Linked DNA regions of Caenorhabditis elegans. The protein of the gene in region 2 purifies or fractionates together with the protein of the main gene of each other region. This does not show direct contact. Each region holds a gene or a part of one and is shown on either strand. Other genes may lie near its edges.

Region 1 (10,721 bases), 300 kb from region 2:
CGTATTTTGATTCAAAGCTCTTGCAATGTCCACACCATGGAGCATAAAACTCAATAAGTACATCCTTTGATTCATCATTGACAATCTTATCAAAGTTGGATCCAACAACGGTTTTAACTGGTCCCTTATCATCTTTTGGAGCTGGAGCACTCTTCACGTGAGCCTTGGCCTTTCCACTACTGATTTGTTTCATGAATGCTTCAAGATTCTCATCAAGTTCTCCATCAAACTCATCTGGATTCATTGGATATTTCTTTCCATCATAACCAAATACAACTACATTATGCTCAAGTCCAGAATCTCCAAGTCCAAGCTCTTCAAGTTCTTTGGCAAACTCCTCTTCATCAGCAACAGCGAACTTGTACTTGTCCTTTTGATATTTCTGAGCAATATTCAAAACTTTGGATCTCCAGTATTCACTTCCTTCTCTATATTGAACGGAGAAATCAGCATTATAATATACAACAACCAATGGTTTTTTCGTGTATCTTGTTGCTGCGTTCTTCTTGGTCATTTTTCCAACAAGTGGTGCAGAATGTTCACGGAAGAAAGCCAAAAGATCCTCTGATGTGGCAGCAGCCTTGTTGTATGTTCTGCTCTTTGGCTCAAATTTGCTGTGGAACAGAGATGGATAGAAGATAATAATGTCATTTGGCTTGGCATCCCACTTCTTGAATGCAGCTGGATCTGATGTATGTCCCATTGTTTTGAACTCTTCACGGAGCATTTCAGCGGAATCAGAGAATGCTTCGAATGCAGTTGAGTCTTCGGTGGCAAAGAATCCAATAATAGTGACGTCATCTTTGCTCATGAATCGTTCGACATCCTTCAGTTTTGGCAATTTCTTAGCAGCTGGCTTCGATTGATCAGTCATGTACTTGATGATTCCAGCAGCCTCTCGTGGTCCGTTATAATCAAATCTTCTTCCATTTCTGATGATCTTCATTGTTGGGTATCCACTGACTCCATACTTGGTTCCAAGATCCTTCTCAATTGTAGCATCAACCTTTCCTAGCTTAACCTTTGATCCTTGAGCCTTCAACTTTTGGGCAGCCTTCTCATATTCTGGAGCCAACTTCTTGCAATGTCCACACCATGGAGCATAGAATTCAACAAGAACCAACTCGTTGTTGGAAATGAAATCATCGAAATTTTCAGTTGTCAAAGTAACCACCTCCTCTGGTGGTGGCTTATAATTTGGATCAACTCTCGACTCAACCCATTCAACAATTCCAGCTTCATCTCTACCTCCATCATAATCGTTTGGACCTTTTCCATCTTTCCAGAATTTGAGAGTTGGATATCCTTGAATTTCGAATCTCTTTCCGAGTTCTGTTTCGACGGTTGCATCGACTTTGGCCAGTGGAATTGACACTTTTGAAGATGCTTTCTCGTATTCCGGAGCCAAGTGCTTGCAGTGGCCACACCTACAAAAATGATAATCAGTGAAAGATTATGAGATTTTGCATCTATGTATTTGTAAAAAAAAATTCCAAAGTTTTAAACTTTTATTATGAAGCGTCTAAAGATGAGAATAGTCGCCATCTCGCCACGCTTCCAACGAGCTACTTCAACTCGTGTAGATTCATAGGCTGCTATTTGTATTTAATTTTAAAATAATAATTAGGTTAGCAGCCCATAAATCAACATGAGTTAATGTAGCTTGTTGGTGAGACCCACTCGCCTACGATATGGCGGAAAATCTCATTTTAGACGTCTACGATAAAAAATCGATTTGAATTTTTCAATTCAATTTTTAGTTTGAAACCAATTTTCTTGATTTTTAAAACTCACCATGGAGCGTAGAACTTCACTAAAACACTTGGATTTTTCTTGAGGAAGGCATCAAAGTTCTTGTCAGTGAGCACAACGACTCCTTCGTCCATTTCGTAGTTCAGCTCATCATCTGAAGCATCTTCCGTGGAACGAACTGCCGATACACAGAGAAGGACGACCAGTGCGAAGAAGCGCCGGTCGAACATCATTTTTGATACCCTGAAAAGCATTTACTTGTTGGAAGAAACAAAATAAAAAGTACGGGAGAAAACGAACAGGGAGCGATAGTATATTAGACAAAAAGTATGTCAATAGCCAGTTGGCTAGTTTGTGCGAAGGGCGACGATAATGAAATGCCTGATACACGTGTACTAAACTGAGAGGCGCAGACCGAAATGGTTGTTTGTACGGGAAAAAGAAAAAATTCCGACGTGGAAATGTGTGGCACAAAATTTAAATATTATCTAGATGCGAGATTTTGCGATTTTTCCCCAAAAATGCGATTCCCGGTCTCGAAACGACTAAACGAACAGTGTGCGTCTTTTAGGGATACTGTAGTTTCCAGCTCATCGTTATTTTCTCCTGTTTCGTTAAATTATATAGAAAAACTACACACTTCGAGGAAAGGGAAGAAACGTTATGAAAAATCAATAAATAAAAATTCAGCGACAGCAAACTAGTTGAAAACTACAGTACTCTTCAAAGGCACACACTCTTTTACATTTATGAGATAATGTCGCTTCGAGACCGGGCAATATCTTTTGTACGACAATCGCAAACTTCCGGATCTCAGTAATACGCCGATAAATATAAATATTGAAAGTATATTCTCGACGTCTGTTTGCACCTGTTGAAATTAAATACATTTTTTCTTTAAAAAACAATTTTGAAGAGTAAAAAGAATTTTAAAAAATACTTTTCTAATTTCCTGTAATAACTAAAATTAAAATGTTGAATTTACGAACGAGGAAATGAAAGGATTCATTGAATCGATAGATGAAACCATACAAAACTAGTGAATGAGAAAAGGAGAGAGAGGTCGCCTATACTCGAGTAGTAACTGCCCTCCCTTCTTATTTCTCCGACTCTATTTGGCCGTCACAGTACGTGGTACGGTCCGACACTCGTCAAATATTATACTGTCATTTTGTGAGATCACCGACGACGGAGCCATATCTGCGTCTCCGTGTCGGCTGATAGTATTTTTTTGATGTTTGCGTGTCCTTTGCCCACAGTTGACCTGCCCTGCCCAGCTCCTTTTTGTCAGATCCTCCGATTCTAATTACTCTCTTTCCGCGTTCACTCTCCTCCATTTTTCAATCAGGCACCGCTTTATCCGGAGGTAAATATTTGCAGTCAGACTCTGTTCGTCGCGGCATCACCATCACAATGCGGAACCATTTCTTGCCAGTTTGCAAACTCATTGGACAAGAGGGACACATTTAAAAATATTACAATCATTCATTGGATCTGGCATATCCAGAAGTTCGCAACAAAAATTTAAAGAAACGGTTCAAAAACCGATAATTTTATCTCGACAAGAAAATAAAGGAGACTATAAAATTGCTAGAAACGCCATCGAAACGGAGCCTGCTCATTCGTCTGCTGAAGTCTATTCCTGAGCCAATTGTTGCTTGATGTCCTTCCATTGCTTGTTGGAGTTTTTCTAAAAAATATCGAAATAGGATAATATACCATTTTGAATATGTTTCTCCAGTCTTTAATTTTTTTGGTTAAAATTCATTTGTTTTTATTATAGAGGAATGCTAAAAACTATAAATATAGTAGTGAAAAAAACGGATTTTTATTTTTTCAATTAAAAATGGCTGTTTTTGTACTCGGTAAACCAGAAAGACAAATTTTCATTCAGAGAAGAACGGAAAAATGTGTTTCATTTTCTGGTCGAAAACGTGATATTAAACTGTATATCCTTTCGGATGATTTTTTCCAGTTTTAAAATCAATTTTTCAATTTAAAAAATTTTTGGAAAGAGTTAAATTTTTGTGAAAAGTTCAGATGATTGTAGATAATTAAAATTAGAAAACTGCATTAATCGAGTTTTTAAATAGTAGTTTTTGAGTATTTCCAAAATTGAAAAATGGGAAAAAGCACAATTATAGAATACAGATATACTTTTTTTTAAATTTCGAATTTTAACTAGTTTTTATGGGTTTTTAACCGAAAAACAAGAAGAAAATTTTGTTTTTCAAAACCTCAGAAAATCGAAAAATCAAAATATTTCGTTTTTTGGTTTTACAATATTTATGTAACGGTGCATCGAACAAAACTTTGTATAAATTAGTGTGTAGACCAAAATACACATATTGAATTCGGTACCAGAATAATTTATTTTGGAGTTTTTTCAAAAACTTGTCGGTTTCGTTAAAAAAAACGATTTTGTGCATCTCTCTCGTTTTTCCAAATAGCCAAATTACTAAAATTTCTGTGTAAACTAATTGTAAGGAGGAAATTAAAATATAAATTTTATGTTTTGGCAACTATACAATTTTTATAAACATGAAAATGTCAAAAATGCGATTGTCAGGATTTTCAGAGATGAACCCGAAGCGAATCGTTTTTATTGGAGATAGTTTTTACACTTCCAGTTTTCGGAAGGTTCATTCATCAAAAAAAAAAATGAGTGAAAAGCACTATATTCTGTCATCTTACACTTATGAAAGTTTTGGTTGTCTTCGAAGGGTTATGATTTCTTTAGATCAACGGAAAAGTCCTCATCGAAACTGAAGAAAAAATCAAAAATGGAATCTGATTTTCATTTGAATAAATGTTAAATTCTTGGGGGTTCCAATTGATCAGAACAGATATGAAACAAAAATTCGATTGAAAAATTTCAGTATTTTTCATGTTTCTCATAAAAATTAAAACTCACAGTATCCCAATAGAAGTTGGTGAGCCCTTCCAAAGTGTAGTTGAAGGTGTAGGCTCCGAAGGCGGAAGCCAAAAGGATGGTGGAGAAACGGCGAGAAACGGTGTTGTAGACGATGGTACCCAGCGACATTCTGAAATATACACTACTTTCAATAGATGTAGAATACATACATTAAATAATACAACAAAAATTGAGGAATTTCTACACGGAAATAAAATAATCAAAAGAAAACTGTTTGAAAGATCTTATTCAAGGAATTCAATGATTAATTGCTAGTACTAGATCGAGAAAAATGGGAAAAGTTATTAAAATAAAACTTTGTTATTAGAAAAACCGTCTGAAAAAAAAACCGAATAAAAATGGAGGCGAGAGACGAAAAAACGTGCGGAACTCTTAAGGAGACGCAGCATGTCTGACGGTTTGGTCTCGCAGCGATCTATGGGAAGCGCGACACACTTGAAACGAGTGTTACCGTACTGTGTGCCTTTAAACAATTTTTATGCTACTGGCCTAAAGATTTTTTCTCTTTTTTTCCGTAAAAACTGTGAAAAATAGTGAAATTTTCGTCAATTTTTATGCCTCTGTGTAAAAACTTGCTAATCTTTCTAGTATTTAACGAACTCTGCCTTAGTTTTTGCTGAAATATGTTCAAAAAATCGATTTTTCGTTCATGTGCTTTTTTTGTAAATGTTTCTCGGCAAATTGTTTTACATTTTTGTTCCTCGTAGTTCTCTATATTGACACCTCTATCAAAAATTTTTTTCAGGGTTAAATATGACTAACTCCAAGGGTCTCAGACGCGGAACGCGTTACATGTTCGCTCGCGACTTCCGCAAGCACGGAGTTGAGCACCTCTCCACCTACTACACCCAGTACAAGCGCGGAGATCTTGTCGATATCAAGACCAATGGAGCTTTCCAAAAGGGTATGCCATTCAAGGCTTACCACGGAAGAACCGGAAGAATCTTCAACGTCACCAGAGGAGCCGTCGGAATCATCGTCAACAAGAGAGTCCGGTAAGTATTTGAGTTTGAATGACACCTAAAACAATGCTAGCATGCTGACAATTTCATTTTCGAAAGTAATTATGATAGTCTTTTTCAATTTTGAAAAGCAATCTAATCCAACTCATTTTGACTGAAATGACTGATTTTTTCAGCGGAAACATTCTTCCAAAGAGAATCAACATCCGTATCGAGCACATCAAGCCATCCAAGTGCAGAACCGACTTCTTGAACCGTGTCAAGTCCAATGACGAGAAGAGAAAGGCCGCTAAGTCAGCTGGACAACCAGTCCCAGCTTTGAAGAGACTTCCAGTCGCCCCTAGAGGAGCTCACACCGTCACCACCCAGAACAATGAGCCAGAACTTCTCGCCCCACTCCGTTTCGAGATTGTTGCGTGATTTCTTGTTTATAAACTGTTTGTTATAAAGTTGTTGCTTGATTCATGCGTAAAATTTTCTCTGAAAAAAACAGGGTGATTTGCTAACTTCAGTTTCTCAACAATTAGTGATAATTTTTCTACCAATCTTGGCTTCTTTACAATTTCCTAATGGGGTTATTCAAGTAATGTAGCAAAATGTATTTAAATACATTTGTGACGTCGCAAATGTATTTAAATACATGTTTTCATCTACTTGAATAAGGTTGTGACGTAATTTTTCTACACTTTTTAATTTTCCGACACTACTTGAATAACCCCATAATTTTTAAGAATTTATCTAAAAATGAACCCTTACACTTGGTTCTCAAAATACGACGTCTTCGCCGACAGTTATAGAAACTCTGAAAATAATCCTATCATGCTTTGCGTTTTAAAATTCATTTTCCAAGCGTTGTATGTTTCAGAGACCCCCGTGAATTACCTTTTTGAAGGTGGCCTATCACTTGTGTGTTCATTGTCTTGAACTAGCATCTCGGGAAAACGAAATTCTGTGAATCGTATTGCGCAAAATATCACGTAGCGAAAACTACAGATATTCTTTAAAAGACTACTGTAGCGCTTGAGTCGATTTACGGGCTTGATTTTCAAAATTAATTAATATCATTGATCCATCGATAGAGTATTAACATTAGTCAAAAAAAAAAACGAAGAAACGAAGAAAAGTGGAATATCGCTGGCACTATTCTAAAATAAATTCATTTAAAAAATCCATCCCGTTAATCTACACAAGCGCTACAGTAGTCATTTAAATAAGTACTGTAGTTTTCGCTACGAGATATTTTGCGCCTCAAATATGTTTCACACCCAGTATTTTGTGTCAATACGGTAATAAGAATATAAAACGAAACTAGGAAAAAGTCCCAGGAAGTTTTTAGACTGGAAATTTCATAAAATCTAAAAAATTTTCGATTATTTTATTATGGTATTCGGTCATTTTGGATCAGGAAAGTTTTAATTTTCAGACATAAGGGGCATCATTGGTTTTAATGAGCTTCATACCGTTTCTGAAATATTCCTCAAGTTGTTAAACGTATCGCTATAATTGTAATGTTTAAACAGTACAATCTGAAATCATAGATTTCCAGGATTATCATATGTTTCTTCATTCCCTCCTTCCATTTTTGATATATTTTCTTCTTTTCCTTTTAGTCACACAGGCGGAAAATGTCCTTGGCGAGGCGTGTATGTTTATCTGTGTCTCTTTTCCAACGAGAAATGCTTTAAACGTTGTAGAAAAGTGAGAGCAGCGGTCTCCGTAGAGCAAAGCAAAAAACAACAAGAGAAGATATTAAGCAACATGATGTTCCTCTGAAGTACGAAAATTGTGATGATGCATCTAATTTCCTATACTGAAACTAATTTCTAATCAGTCGACTCAACGAAACAATGTTTTCAAAAAATACGAGAACAGTCAATAATATACCGAGTGAAATATCAAGTGTTTGCATTCCAAAAAACGAATCGCTGGCTCATGTTTATCATATCACATACGTCACATTGAAACTAGATTTTTACAGATTAACGTTCACAATGAAGCCATGTAATTAAAAAGGGATAGAATTTTAAAGGACAAGCCACAATTTTTGCTTATTATTAGAAGGTATTCCAATTGAACATTATTGTCGGTGATAAATTGTAATGTTATTTTGACCACAGTAATTTTCCAAATTAATTTATCGTAAAGGTGGAGTTCGAAAAATGGGAATTTGACTCAAAAATACTCGATAGATACCGAAAGGCTGAAATACTACAAAAGAAGAATGAAAAAATAATCAGGTATGATTGAAAAGTTTCCAACTCTCGCTATTCCCCATGTTTGAACTTCTTCCAAAATAAGACCTGCAACCAATCAGCGATTCGATCGGCCCATTTTTGAACCAATCAGATGGAGTGTGCATCTCTGTTGATTTTGGTACATTTTCAGTCCATAGAGTCCAATTTTGGCGGTTTTTGAATACCTATTGACTGAAAATGTACAAAAATCAATTTTTACGCTACATAAGTTACCAAAAAATGCGATGTGATAATTTTAAAAAGGTTCAGTTGCTACGATAAGGCATGAAGTCATGTAGATGAAATTTCAAGTTTTCACGAAATGGGGAGTTTGAAATAATCTTAAGATTCCCTTCCAAGGCCTTCCCTATCGTAGGCTTTTCTTCAAAGTTCAATGATCAGAAATCAATTTAGCTATATTCCAATATTTAACTTACTTAATAAAACCCCTACCTATTCTGATTACAAACAATTTTTCTTAATTAGTACGTGGCTCTTTGTAACGTTCAAATTGAGGTCTCCCCCTTATTCCCGTGCACGCCAACCTTCAGCAGCAGGCCTCATCTTGCGCGCGCTCACTCGCGTTTTTCACTGCACCAGCAGGCCATTTTCTGTACTCTCTTCACTATTGACGCTCTCTCGTCCCAGCGCTTACTCGTCGTCCTCGTCCCGCCGTCCGACAACGAATTCAATGTGTGTGTGAGTGTGTGTGTGTTCGCATTGGACCTTTGCAAGTTCATGTACTGTCCTATTTCAGGGACCATCTTTTTGTTTTTCTCTGATATCTTTGTTCTATATATCTCACACTTAAAAATCGTTGTCCGGCTGCTGAGATTGAACAAACAAGTTGATAGAGAAGAGAGATTTGTCGTCACCTCATGTGATATGAAATCAAAGTTTTGATTTGATCAAATTCATGTAGAATTCGATTTCTCGATTCTGTGATATAGCTTCTTAATTATAGAACTCTCGTACTCAGAAAATAGGTATTTTCCATAGTTATTCCAAAACTATATCATAGTTTTAGTTGAACCTATTAATTTGATTTTGAGCCAGCTAATTTGTGTTTCAACGTCCGTTAGAAATATCTTTCTAATATTTGATAGCTTTGTGAAGTCGAATGTTTCGTTAGAGTGTTCTCTTCCATAACCTCTTGAATACCGGAATTGCACTACTAGATGATTGTGATGTCACACTTCCAAAACGATTTCTCTTTATTCTGTAAATATTCTATATGTAGCATGTCTTGTTTTTCCGCAAGTTCGCTTTAATAAGTGTTTGATCCGTCTTTTTTCGAAATCTCGTTTTTAGTGATCTACATATAATCTGCCTCTTCTGTCTGACCCTATTCCTTATTCCTTGAGCCTTGCAGGTTTGCCTTCTTTTTTTTTTGAAACACCACCTGTACCATGACAATTTGTACTAAATACCTTTTTTCTCGTTATGGGTTCATATTTTTCTTTGTTTTTTTCGCTACACGTCTTAATAAAAAATACGCGAACTGCCACGTGGCTACCACGTTTTTCGGGCAACAACTTTTCTATTCTGTCTCTTTTATTTTTAACTGTCAGCGTCTCGTCGGTGGGTACATACCTTTTTTCTCTTTATGAGATATTTTTTTTCTAATTTTTTAAAAGCTAATTTTAATTATACTATTCCAACAAATCGCACGCCAAATATGAATGTCATTTTTCTCAGTTTCTCGTTGTCTTCAAACTCTGCGTATCTTCATTTTAATACAGTGTATCTATATTGCCTCCCTAGTCGACCACCCACTGTCTGCTCTGACGTCTCCTTGATTTTCATTGTCTCTCGTCTAATACACACTGTCATCTAGTTTCCAAATGAATGGTTAAAGATGAGGGGTCTGTCTGAAATAAGTTCACGTTCGAGATCAGTTGGTGCAACTGTTGCAATCTTCAACTGAATTGACCAATAACCCAGTGTGTAATTTTTGCGCCTTCCGGCTCATGTGATTTTATAGCAAACGTTTTGTAGTTTTTATCTGATAATTGAAACCTTTGTTGTCAAATCAATTTTTTGGTTCTGTCTGATTTTCTCCGGTTGAACTCAAGATTAGTTGTATTCAGAATCTTAATAAGACAACAATTATCATGAGTATGCTGAAATGTAAAACTACCTGAAACTTTAGCAAAGCTTCTCCATGGAATGCTATGAACTGCGAACACATTTATAGTTTTTATGATGCTATAATAATCTACAACTTTTACAATTTTATCTCTGATGTCTCCTCAAAATGGTGTGCTATCTGCCATACATAGTGAGACTCAGACATTCTCAATGTCTGGCAACTCCTGTTTCTTCATTCTCTCTATGTGCCACCGCTCTCTGCGTTTATTTGTCAAAGAAACTGCTACTTTGTGTCTGCGTGTCCTCGCCCGACCACTGAAAAGTGGAGAAATTGGGATTTTTTTGGTAATTCAGAAGTGGGAGGGAGGGTAAGCCTTGTTTTCATCTTAATATAAGTAACTCAAATTGCGATGTTATTTTTCTTCTAGTTGATATTATTCTATTTTAAGGCAAAAGAGCTTAAATTGACTGCGCTATTAAATATTATGTTATGCTATTGTTTGAAATGAATTACTATTTTATTAAGAAACGTGTCAATTGATGTGTTATTGAGGCTTGATGTTTTTCTCTAATTTTAATCATGCATATGTAACTAAATTTGTCAATGTATCTTGTTATGGTTCTAGTAGAGAAAATTCCGATTTTTCGAAAAAAATTAAAGTTATTCGACATGTAATTCAAGAAAACTTTTCTGACGTTGTGCCAAATAATTTGCAATATTTTGAAATCGTTATTCAGTTTATTTTC
Region 2 (11,049 bases):
TTCTACGGGAGAGGCTTGCCAGAGAGCAAATTGTGATGAATCTTCTCACTCGCCCGTATTCGACAGCGGTTAGTTATATTGATAGTTAAATATCACTAATAATTTAAATTATAGTATGCAGAACTGACGTATCTGGAAACTGAAAAGAATGTGAAATCGTTGGAAGAACTGCGAGCAAAAGAATACAAAAAGCTTGATGAACAGCGAATGCCCGGAAAACCAAAAAATACGGAAGGTTCCAAGTCGACTATCAGGAAGAAAGCTAATGTTGGAAATCTTCTTCATACCCACACAACTGTTGAAGATTCTTTAGCTGGATTGGCGGCAAGAAAACGATGGGACTGAGCGAATCTTTTAATTGTTGTAATTATAGTTTTGTTGTAGTGAACAATAAAAACCTTTAAAATTGTTATATTAAAACAAAAAAAACAAAAATGAAAACAAGAATAAACAATTAACCTACACACTCTAGTATCTAAATATTTAAAAACACTATCTCTTAAGAACATTTAGGAACGCTTCTTTAGGAATCTGCACATTTCCAACCATTTTCATCCGCTCTTTTCCTTTCTTCTGATGACTGAGTTTCTTATTGAGTCGTTCCATTCCTCCACCACCAAAGTTTCCCTTCAATAGCTGCGAGAAGTCTCGTTTCATTGGCTGGATAACAATTTGAGATAATGCTTTCGTTGAGGAACCAATGCAAGCTTTAATTGTAACTTCAAATTGCTGTCGTGGAATTTCTCGTTTCAGACGTTGAACTAAGATCTTTGCACGATCTCTCGCCATTGCCGCTGGTATGATTTGCGAGAATTCACTGACCTTAAATTAAATTTTAATGATAAAATTTTAAAACAAAACCAATTCCCACCTCTTTACTGTTGATAAGAATTGTAAGTTTCACCAGCCGAGTATCCTGCCATCCATCGGGCTCATAGTCAAACGATGCATATCCACTTGTCAATTTCTTGAGTCTTTCAAAGAAATCAACAGCAACTTCTGCAAGTGGAAGCCTCCAAAGGATCACGAGACGAGTCGAATCGATCGATGTGATCTCTCCTCGTTCACCACGACATTCGGAGCACAATCCATTGACAGTACCCATCATTTCATTTGGAACAATCATTCGGACTTTTACCATTGGTTCTAGGAAGCTATCTACATCACTTTCATCGGGGAACTTGCTTGGATCAAGAATTCGAATCTCCTCCATTCCATCATACCGCTTTTTTCGAATCGTCTCATTATCCTTAATCTTCGCTCGATATTCTACACTTGGTTGGCAAAGGATCACACTTGCATCGTATTCTTGTGATAGACGAGCTCCGAAAACTTCCATGTGTAAAACACCAAGAAACCCGATTCTCCATCCAAGTCCAAGTGCTTTGCTTGAATCGGGAATTACAGTAACCGAAGGATCATTAAGGCATAATCGTTCCACAGCCTGTTTTAGACTTTCATAATCTGATGTTTCGACTGGAAATAAGCCAGCATATACGGTTGGTTTCACTCCTTTAATTTCAGCGAATGTTTTTACAGAATCCCGAGAAGTTGTTTCAGCGAAAAGTGTCTCTCCAACCACAGCTTCGTTAACTGTCCTCATATTACACACCAGATATCCAACTTGACCGGCTCTTAATTCTGTGCATTTTACCATTTCTGGTCGCATCACTCCAACTTCTGATACATCATATACTTTCTCATTTTGATATGATTGAATTTTATCTCCTTTCTTCACAGAACCTTCTTTTACCATAATATGTGCAATTGCTCCGCGAAAATGATCGAAATACGAATCGAAAATCATTGATCTGGAATTTTTTTAAATTTTGAATTGCTTTTAAAGAATAATTAGTTTAAACTTACCTAAAAGGAGCGTCTATAATTGCTGTGGGTGCTGGAACACGGTCAATTATAGCTTCTAAAACTTTATCCACATTCAACCCAGATTTTGCAGAAATGTGAAGACATTCTTCTGGATTGAATTCAAACAAATTCTTCAGTTGAGTCTCAACCTGAAGTTTTAAAACTTTAAAATAAATTTTTAACATCAACTAACTCACTGACTTGATATCTGCTCCAGGAAGATCAATCTTGTTAATAACTGGAATAATTTGAATGTTTTTCTCGAAGGCTAGCCAAAAATTCGCAATAGTTTGAGCTTGAACACCTTGATTTGCAGCCACGAGTAGAAGAATACCATCACATACTGCTAAACTTCGGGAAACCTGAAAATTGATTCGATTTTTTCTAGAGATTTGCTAATTCTTTTTTTAACCTCTGCTGAAAAATCTACGTGTCCGGGAGTATCAATTAAATTCAGAAGATATCCACGATGTCGTAAAGCTGCAGTTTGAGCTTTTACAGTAATTCCTCGTTCCCGTTCAACTTGTAATTTGTCCAGCATCTAAAATAAAACTTGAAATAGTTGAAGTAAAAAAGTTAAAAACCTGCTTTTGTCCTGGGGGAACCGCACCACACATTTCTAGAAGCCGATCGGCCAGCGTTGATTTTCCATGATCAACATGTGCAACAATTCCGAAATTTCGAATTTTATCCGGTGTAAATTCGCTGAGATTTACCAATTTTGTTGGGTCGCCGGCGGTTGAATAATGTTTACATGAAACCCGTAATTTTCCAATAAATAATAATTTTAATAGACGCCGCCGAGGCATTCTGTAATATAAATAGATAAGTTTAAAGATAAATAACCTTGTTGGTTAAAATTTTCTTCTAATTAAAAAGTCACAAAAGCGCTCTACTGTCATACAAAAAGAGAGATGAGAGGCGCAGACATTGTGTGACGAGAAAATTTTTTCACAGGCCTAGAAATTGTAAAATGACAACTTTTCTTCATTATTAATGTGAATTATAGAGAAATATATGAAAATTGATATTTCATTTAATAGAAAAAGTATTTCCAAGTGTTCTTTGAGTTCAAATTCTAGCTATCTCTGGGGAAAATGTGGATCAACTCTATACAATCCAAGAAAAGGGGCGGGGCAAAGTTTCCAGTTATTGAATGTTTTTTCACTCGGTGAGCTTTCCACTTTCTCTCTCACTGCCGCTATTTTGGCTCCAGAAATTAAGGAGTTATATGTTTGTTACCATTGCACGATTATAATAACTATTAAGATTTTCAGTTCAAGCTTAACTTTTTTTGTTCTACTCTGACATTTCTACATTTCTCTCAATTGTTCCCCTTCCATCGAATTGACACAAGTAAAGAATTGCTGTAGTTTTCGATACTGGATATTTTGCACTTTAAATTAATTGCACAATACATATTCTCAAAATTGTGTGTTCCCGTAATATATAAGCCTCTTTCTCATCAAATACCGAATTTTTATGTTTTGTTTTTTGGTAGACCAACACTGTTCTGTTGGAAATTTGTGTCAGTGCTTCTCTGTAATGTTTATGCCTTTTCCAAATCGATAATATTTGTATTTATTTTATTTCAAAAAAATGCAGTAAATAAAATTGTAACATGGAATTTTTTCTTGGGTGAGGGCGACGGCGACTGATGTTGAATGAGTGACATAGACAAAATAATGATTTTCTGATTAAAGACTTTGGTTATCTGGAACAAATTTAAGAGATGACAGAAAAATAAGATTTAAGTTAAATGATAATATTGAGAGTGAGTTGAAACGAGTGAAAGGATGATGAAGGGAATTAGAGAGACAGAGAGATTTTTCATAAAACACATAATAGAGAATCAGTGATTATTGATTTTTATTTATATTTTGTTCATTCGATAATTGCAATATCATCGTCGTCTTCAACTGTGACGACTTCTACGGCAGAAACTTCTGGTTTTGAAGCAGAATTTCCTGCAGCAGCAGAAGAAGATCCATTTTCTACTACAGCCTTCTCAGAAGACGATGGCTCGGATGGCTCGGGAGTAGCTACAGCTGGTTCCACTATCTGAAACATTTTTATTTTAAGTTTTATAAGGAATATTATCTTTAAAGTACGTTCAAAAATAGCTCTTAAAAGTCGTAGCATTTCGGAAAACTTTTTATCGCAAAATTTCATATTTTTGAATAAAGATAAACATAATTTTAAGTAAAGTTATGTTTTACGTTTTTTCAATACTTCGGTATTAAAATTGTTTAATCAGCTCAAAAACAACCGAAAGATAAAAAATAACAAGGATGTGCGGCAAATAAACCTTCCAGCAATATTACTTAACGCTGAAATTTTTAGGAAACTGAAAATCACTGAATTTGCCGAACACAGAATTTGTCGGGTTGTAGAACTTGTCAATTTTTCGGAAACCGGCAACTTGGTTAAGACGTACTTAGAGGGGAAAAATATGAAAATTTCTCTAAAAACCGTATTCAAATTATATAAATTATTTAAGAAGTACAGTATTCTACCCATATTCCTCAACTTTGACTTCTCCTACATCAGTTGACTTGCTTTTTCAAAAACTTACACTATTAAAAATATTTGTTGAAAGTTTATTGTTTTGATAAAGCTAACGAACACCAAAATATTAGCAGTTAAAGTAGAAAAGTAATAAAAAATGAAATGACATACCGTAGTCTCAATGACCGTCTTCTCTACAATAACCAATTGAATCTCTTCCTCCTCTTCTTCCTCTTCCTCTTCTTTCTTTTCCTCCACCTTTTCCTCTTCTTCTTCTTTCTCGTTTTTCTCTGATTCTAATTGTACGTCCTCCTCTTCTTCTTTCTCGTCTTCTTCCATTTTTTCATCTTCCTTCAAATCCTCAACCTCTTGGGATTCTTCCTCATCTTCTCCTTCTACAGACTCTTCTTCTTCAGGTTCTTCTTGAACCTCCTTCTTTTTCTTTGGCACTGGCTCCTCATCATCTTCAACTTCTTCTTCATCCTCTGCTTTTGATTTCTTATCAGCTGAAGAATGTTCTTCATCCGTATCACTATCTGGTCGGATATCACCTCCTGCTAGTCTCTGCCTCTTTGGTGGGGATTTTTTGGGTGGGGGTTTTGGAGCAGCTTTAGCTCCACGAGCAGGAGTTGAAGCAGATGCTTTGCTTACTGAAGCAGAAGCTTTCGAAGATGCACCCTTCTTTCCAGCAGCCATTTTATCTTTTTTAGCTTTGATTTCTGCTTTACGAGCTGCTTCTCGCGTGAAGAACGCTTCAATTAGTGTTGGATCGACTATATTCTCCTTTGGTTCCCAGCTGTTGTGACTGAAAATTACACGATTTAGTCCAAACAAGACTGTAATAAAAATAACTAAAATTTTCTGGAATTTTCAAAACTGAAAATGGGTATAATTTGGAATAACTAATTGAATCAAAAAAATATGCTTCAAAAAACTTTATGAAAATGTTTTGGAAAAAATTCGAGAGAGAAAACTTACGTATGGTCATATCCGAGCCATTTTATGTAGAACTCGCTCTTTCCCTGCAAAATCGTTAATTACATATTTCAAATATATCTTGCCATTTTATTTTCTCTTCAATTTCTCCCAATCCATCTCAAACCGAACGTTCCCTATGTTTATTTGTCTCTGCGTCTCTCAAACTTGATTACGCGTTTGCAAAAAAAAAACTAGAGAAGGATAGAAGAATGACTTGGCTGAGTGCCAGGCAGGAAAAAAAAAGTAAAAGTTGAACTTAATTACCTTCTTCTTGCGATGTTCCAAAATTGACTCGACGGTGTAGAGCTCTGATCCGTCGGCCATGGTTCTACAATTAGATTGGTGTTGGTAAATAAGTGGAAAAGTGAAAAAAAAATTGAGTGGTAAACTTGAAACGTTTTAAAATTTTCTCTATTAAAGTTGTTGCTAATTTTGATAGAATTTAATAGTAACAGCTAAAATGTAATGTAGAACATAAAAATGACTAAAGTTAAAATGGTTATATCTGGCTTAACATAATTTGTATAATTTTTATTTTTTTTTTGACTAAAAGCCACCAGGGTTGCAACAGGATTTCAAACAATACTAAAATTACAACATGAGCAATGAAAATTTCAAGGAAAATATATTTAGGCAGTATACCTCAGGAATCAAAGAAAGCCTTCTAAAATCTGATGGTACTACTGCCATTTTGAGTTTCGGAGTATGTTTGGAAAACTGCTCCTGTAAGAAATTTCAAAATAAAAATGAAAAAGAGAAAAAACCATTTTTGAACTACATTAAATCTAAAAAATTGTAGAAAAAACACATTCTAGAATGTAGGGGTTTTTTAAAAATATATTATGAGAATGCTTCGAAAATAACATATACAAATATCGCAACAACAAAACATAAAATTTACAAAAATTTTGAAAAATGGTTATCAAAAGGTTTGCACTAGCTTTTGTGTACTGTTCGTCACCTCGAACTTTCGAAACCTTAAGATTTTTGTTACTTTGGATAAAAAATAATTTTGTTGAAATGTTTTTTTACTACATTTTTGTGGTGACTATGGAAATTTACCATTTTGACTGTATATTACCACTAGAATTATTAAAATTTTAAACTTTTTTTTTGCTATTAAAAAATAATGTTTTTTTGGCACTAGAGAAAATTTTGACAAGTTAACAGAGATGGGAAGACAGTGAGAGAGTTATACGAGAATGAAATAAGGAGAAGAAGACGACGACATCGCCTTGGTTTGTTTGTGTGTATGTGGGCTGTGTCTCTCTGTGTGTGATGGAGGTCTATTTTCTCTTTTCTGTCCGCTCTTTCCATAGTGTATAACCTTCGACAGCGTCTGCTCCTCTTGCTCTGACACACTATTCGCAGTCGGGCTCTAGTCTTCTCGCTGTCCGGCCACGCAGGCAGCCCCTCACTGACGGACAGCACAGTGCTTTTCTCTGTTTTCTCGCACGTCTATTGCTTTTTCCCAATAGGTTGACATGGCATTTTATAGAGAGAAAAGGGGGTGGGAAAATATGAAATATAAAAAGAGAAAGGGAGAGACGCATCAGATGATCATCACACGGCTGCAAATTTCTAGCTGTTTACACTAACAATTGAGTATTTTCTACAACTGGTTGGGTTACTGTAGTTTTTTGAAAAAGTCAATACTTTTATACCGAACCGATTAATTTCAATATTTAACGTTTCACAGTACAGAGTTCACACGGACAAAGACTCCTGTCACTCTATGTACAGAACAGGGCTGTCTGGCTTTTCAGCAGCTGCCGCAAGTTTTAGCCAAAAGTCGGCTGACGAAAATTCTGATGTTCGGCAACTCTGGCAATTTTCGAAATTTTTTGTGACAACTTTGGCTAAACTGTGTAGTCAATTCCAAATAGGTTTTGATCTGAAAGACGAATTCAGAGAACCTGGGAGATGCGAAAATCTTACGGAAACTGAAACAAGCTTGATAAAGTTGAAAAATTGATTGTGTGGAGCAGGGGTGTGCGGCAAATTTGCCAAATTTGCCGAATTTGCCGAGCACGGCAAATTTCAAAAAAGTAGATTTGCCGAATTTTTCGAAATTTGCCGCACACGTCAAAAATTTGACAGTACAATTTTGACTAAAACAAGTGATTTTTTAGCCAAAAATTTAGTAAAATAATACAAAATTGAGCTATTTTGATGCTTAAACAGACATACTACGCGGAACTTATTCAGAAACCAGATGTGTGTTAAGAATTCAGTAGTTTTGGTGCTCCAAAAAACATAAAAAATATCAAATTTTATCAAGAAACAAAGTGTGAAATTTTCTCAGAAACAATATCAGGTATGACTTCATTTTATAAATGGAGTATGGAGAGTTACAACTCCTCCGATACAATTTACGAATTATGCTATAATCGTTGGAAAGTTGTTGTTTCCACTCTGGGTTTGTTGACTGTAAGAAACGTAATGGGATTACTGTACTTATGGAAAAAGCTCTTTCAAAGACATGATGTTATTCCGAAGACATCTAAAGTTGATACTACATTTTACGCGCATACTTCTGTCATGCGGATAATACCGTATTCAATCTATAGGAATATTTTACAATTTATGCCGGGCGATAAAAGTACGGTATGTTATCTGAGTCACAGTTGAGCCAAATATTTTTTGATTGCCACTTACTGAACAAATTCTTGATATCAATCCCGATTTTTCTGACGCTATCATTACTTCTCGTACGAAAGCATCTATAGAATGCCCAAAGGCTCTGAGAAACATCACATGTTGAACAAACAAAATATGAGATTTCAGATATCAAATTTTAAAAATAAAATAAGACGCCCAAAAACGTATAATTAAATAATTGTAGCAATTATGACTTTATGATTCAAAACATTTCGGAATAGTCTTGAATCTATAATTCAACTACTTTTGTTTCGTTTGACTTTTTATTGAATATTCCAAGAAGATTTAGTTTTCAACCAGATTTTATCGGTAGTTTTAACTTTACACACTACTAAGAATTTCAACAGGGAAAATGGCATCAAATTGCCTGGTCCTTTTGAGTGAAAACTTTATACATGTATTGATTTTTTAATGAAAATTTCCGACTAATATTTTGCTACTTTTGATATTGAAAGAATCTCAAACAATGTGGGTCTCTGACCAATCCAAGAATGATTACAAATATTGAAATTGTAGATTTAACTAGTTGGATATTCATTGTTGTCTGTTTCACAGCTGCCACATCAAAAGAATTCTTAAAATATTTACCACAACTTACTATTAGCACGTCCTCGCACTATAGTAATATCGGTGTAGCTTAAAACTTTAGAATTTTAGAGTTTAAGTTTATTCAAATGTATCACATATCGATTAGTTTGGCAATCCGTTAAAACGTCATATCCATAAAATTTATCAATTGTTCCACAAACTTTAGCTAGTTGAACAGTTTGTGCAAGTAATTTCTCAACAAGCAATATCTTCCTATGCAGATCCTATTGGTTAACCACAATAGCAAAATGTTCAAGTTGATCGACGTTACCTGAAAATTCTAATGAAAAGTTTGTTCTGCAAGATTGTATAAGAATTTAAGTTTTGCCAAAAAAAAGTTTACCAATTTTTGCTGACTATCAGAATTAGGGATCTGGGAATAAATGAAATACTACTGCTAACTTCTGTAAGCTTAGTTATAAATTATCTGGATTGACAAATCAACGTGTGCTATCTACAAAAGGAAGTACACAGATTTTATGAATCTGCGGATTTTATGTGATCTGCCAATATTTTTGGAATTATTGTATTATATCGATCAATTCGTAGTAACCAAAAAATCGACAAATTGAAAAAAGAAACTTTTTTGCGTGCTTAGTTGGTTATTGGTGGAAACATTCTGATTGGCGCGGTAGTTCAAAATTTAAATTTTCACAACCATCCGGTTGAAAGTATATTGGTGCTGGTCCAATTATAAAATTGCTTCATTGCTACTTGCTTTCTTAAATACTGTTCTTGTTTTCAGACGCTTCGCATAACGATTCTCCAAATAAAATGTTTATTGTGTGATGATTGTGTAAAACAGACAAAAAAAGAAACTAACTCATCTAAAAATAGGTAAATGAGAGCAAAGTTTTAAGATCACTACTACTAGAAGCGTAAAAAATAAGACAAAAGCAAAAACCCGACAGAGGAAAAAAACGGAAGAGGTACACAAAATATGGTTTGGTAACAAACATAATTATTTACAAATTTATATTGAATTAAAATTTATGTTGGATTTAAAGTTGGTGGTTGTGCTGTAGAAGTCGTTGGTCGGTTCTGTAAAAAGTTGAATTTAAAATAATTCCAAAATTCCTAGAAAATTAACATACCGATGCTGGAGAACTGGTCGCTGTTGCAGCATTTGTTGGACTGGTAGATGAAGCTTCAGAAGATGTGGAAGAGTTTCCCATGCTTGGTGGGCGTTGACTATGCATTCGATGTATATGATTCATAACCTGATCAATTGATTTCTTCTTTCTATCAACAACTGGTCTTCCGATGTCTAATGAAGATGGTAGAAGTATTCTTGGAAACTCATTGTTTAGTGGCAAATCCCACTGCATAATTCTATAGAATGTCTTCCATTTTTCCACATTTGACTCGTCGGATTGAAGTTCCAAAAGGTACAATTGCAATTGATCACTGTGCGACATTCGATGAATCTTGACATCTGCCTCATCGCATCGTCTTCGAGACAAATACATATTGTAATCAGCAATTGAAAGAATTTTATTGAAGTGTGGCATTGGATCACCAAGGAAGTAGAATTCGAGGAAACTTGCTGGATCAGCCTGTCGAGAATTGCACAGAAGACGATACTCGTTGATAGCTTTTATTGTGTTGCTCACATTCAATCTCTGAAAACTTTAATTTAATTTTGAAACTTTATCAATGATTTTGAACAAAACTGGCACTTATACGAAACCCTGCATTTACTGAGAATTCATTGAAGGTGAAGTAGTAAGTTTGTTGAATGAATGAATTTTGATTGAATGCATGTCAAACTATTCAGCTTGACCAAAAATACTCTGTCAAAGTTTTGATAAAGTGAGAATTTTTGAAAAACTTAAGGGCTTTTGAGGAATTCAAGACTTTGATACGTGTTCAAACTACTACAACTTCACCTTAATAGATGTTTAACTATCTCTTTAAAAAATCAACCAAAATAATGAGTTTGATGTCAAAAGCAATTCTCAAGGGTAAGATTTCCTGCCAGAAACATCAATTTTAACAATCTACATAGGCGGTAGGCAGGCACAAAGATTTGAAACCGTGCTTGCCTATTATTGAAGATTTATTAAATTTAAGAGTATAACTTACTCCTGATTTTTCATATGGCGGGAAGTGCCATGGAATGATTGAATTGGTGAGCGTCGCTGGTGATGCAACAGTCACATATGTATTGTTATATGTCTGCTTAGAATCTGGCCTAAAGTTGCACGGATCCGGTGCTCCAGGTCTCAAAAACTGCAGTTCTCCTTGGAGAGCTCGATGTGGTGGCTGTGGAGGAGGTGGTCGAGGTGGGTTCAGTTGTGCCATATTCATCGCCATTGCTTCAATCTTCACGAGGCGATTGCGTACTTCTTCAGACGGCTGCACAGATGAAGTATTCAGAATTCGAGCTCTTTGGTTTGAATTTGGAAGTTGCATATATGGATGTGCATAACGCTGTCCATCTGGTCC

What was found.
Region 1: the proteins of cec-1 (region 2) and C14B9.10 fractionate together in Caenorhabditis elegans (co-fractionation; one large-scale study listed by BioGRID). This does not show direct contact.

Annotation. Positions count from the first base shown.
Region 1 is NC_003281.10:8,124,939-8,135,659, reverse strand, and holds C14B9.10 (Complex III subunit 9), read right to left. Parts: upstream 4,809-10,721; 5' UTR 4,796-4,808; coding exon 4,667-4,795; intron 3,443-4,666; coding exon 3,389-3,442; 3' UTR 3,224-3,388; downstream 1-3,223. Other genes in the region: C14B9.2 (putative protein disulfide-isomerase A4), read right to left, coding at 1-1,427, 1,795-1,985; rpl-21 (Large ribosomal subunit protein eL21), read left to right, coding at 5,441-5,682, 5,826-6,069.
Region 2 is NC_003281.10:8,420,967-8,432,015, reverse strand, and holds cec-1 (Chromo domain-containing protein cec-1), read right to left. Parts: upstream 5,684-11,049; 5' UTR 5,677-5,683; coding exon 5,617-5,676; intron 5,397-5,616; coding exon 5,353-5,396; intron 5,180-5,352; coding exon 4,546-5,179; intron 3,928-4,545; coding exon 3,751-3,927; 3' UTR 3,433-3,750; downstream 1-3,432. Other genes in the region: ZK1236.5 (uncharacterized protein), read left to right, coding at 1-68, 115-345; ZK1236.1 (Translation factor GUF1 homolog, mitochondrial), read right to left, coding at 493-822, 872-1,811, 1,867-2,015, 2,064-2,228, 2,279-2,407, 2,451-2,675; sor-1 (Sop-2-related protein 1), read right to left, coding at 9,592-9,642, 9,696-10,223, 10,687-11,049.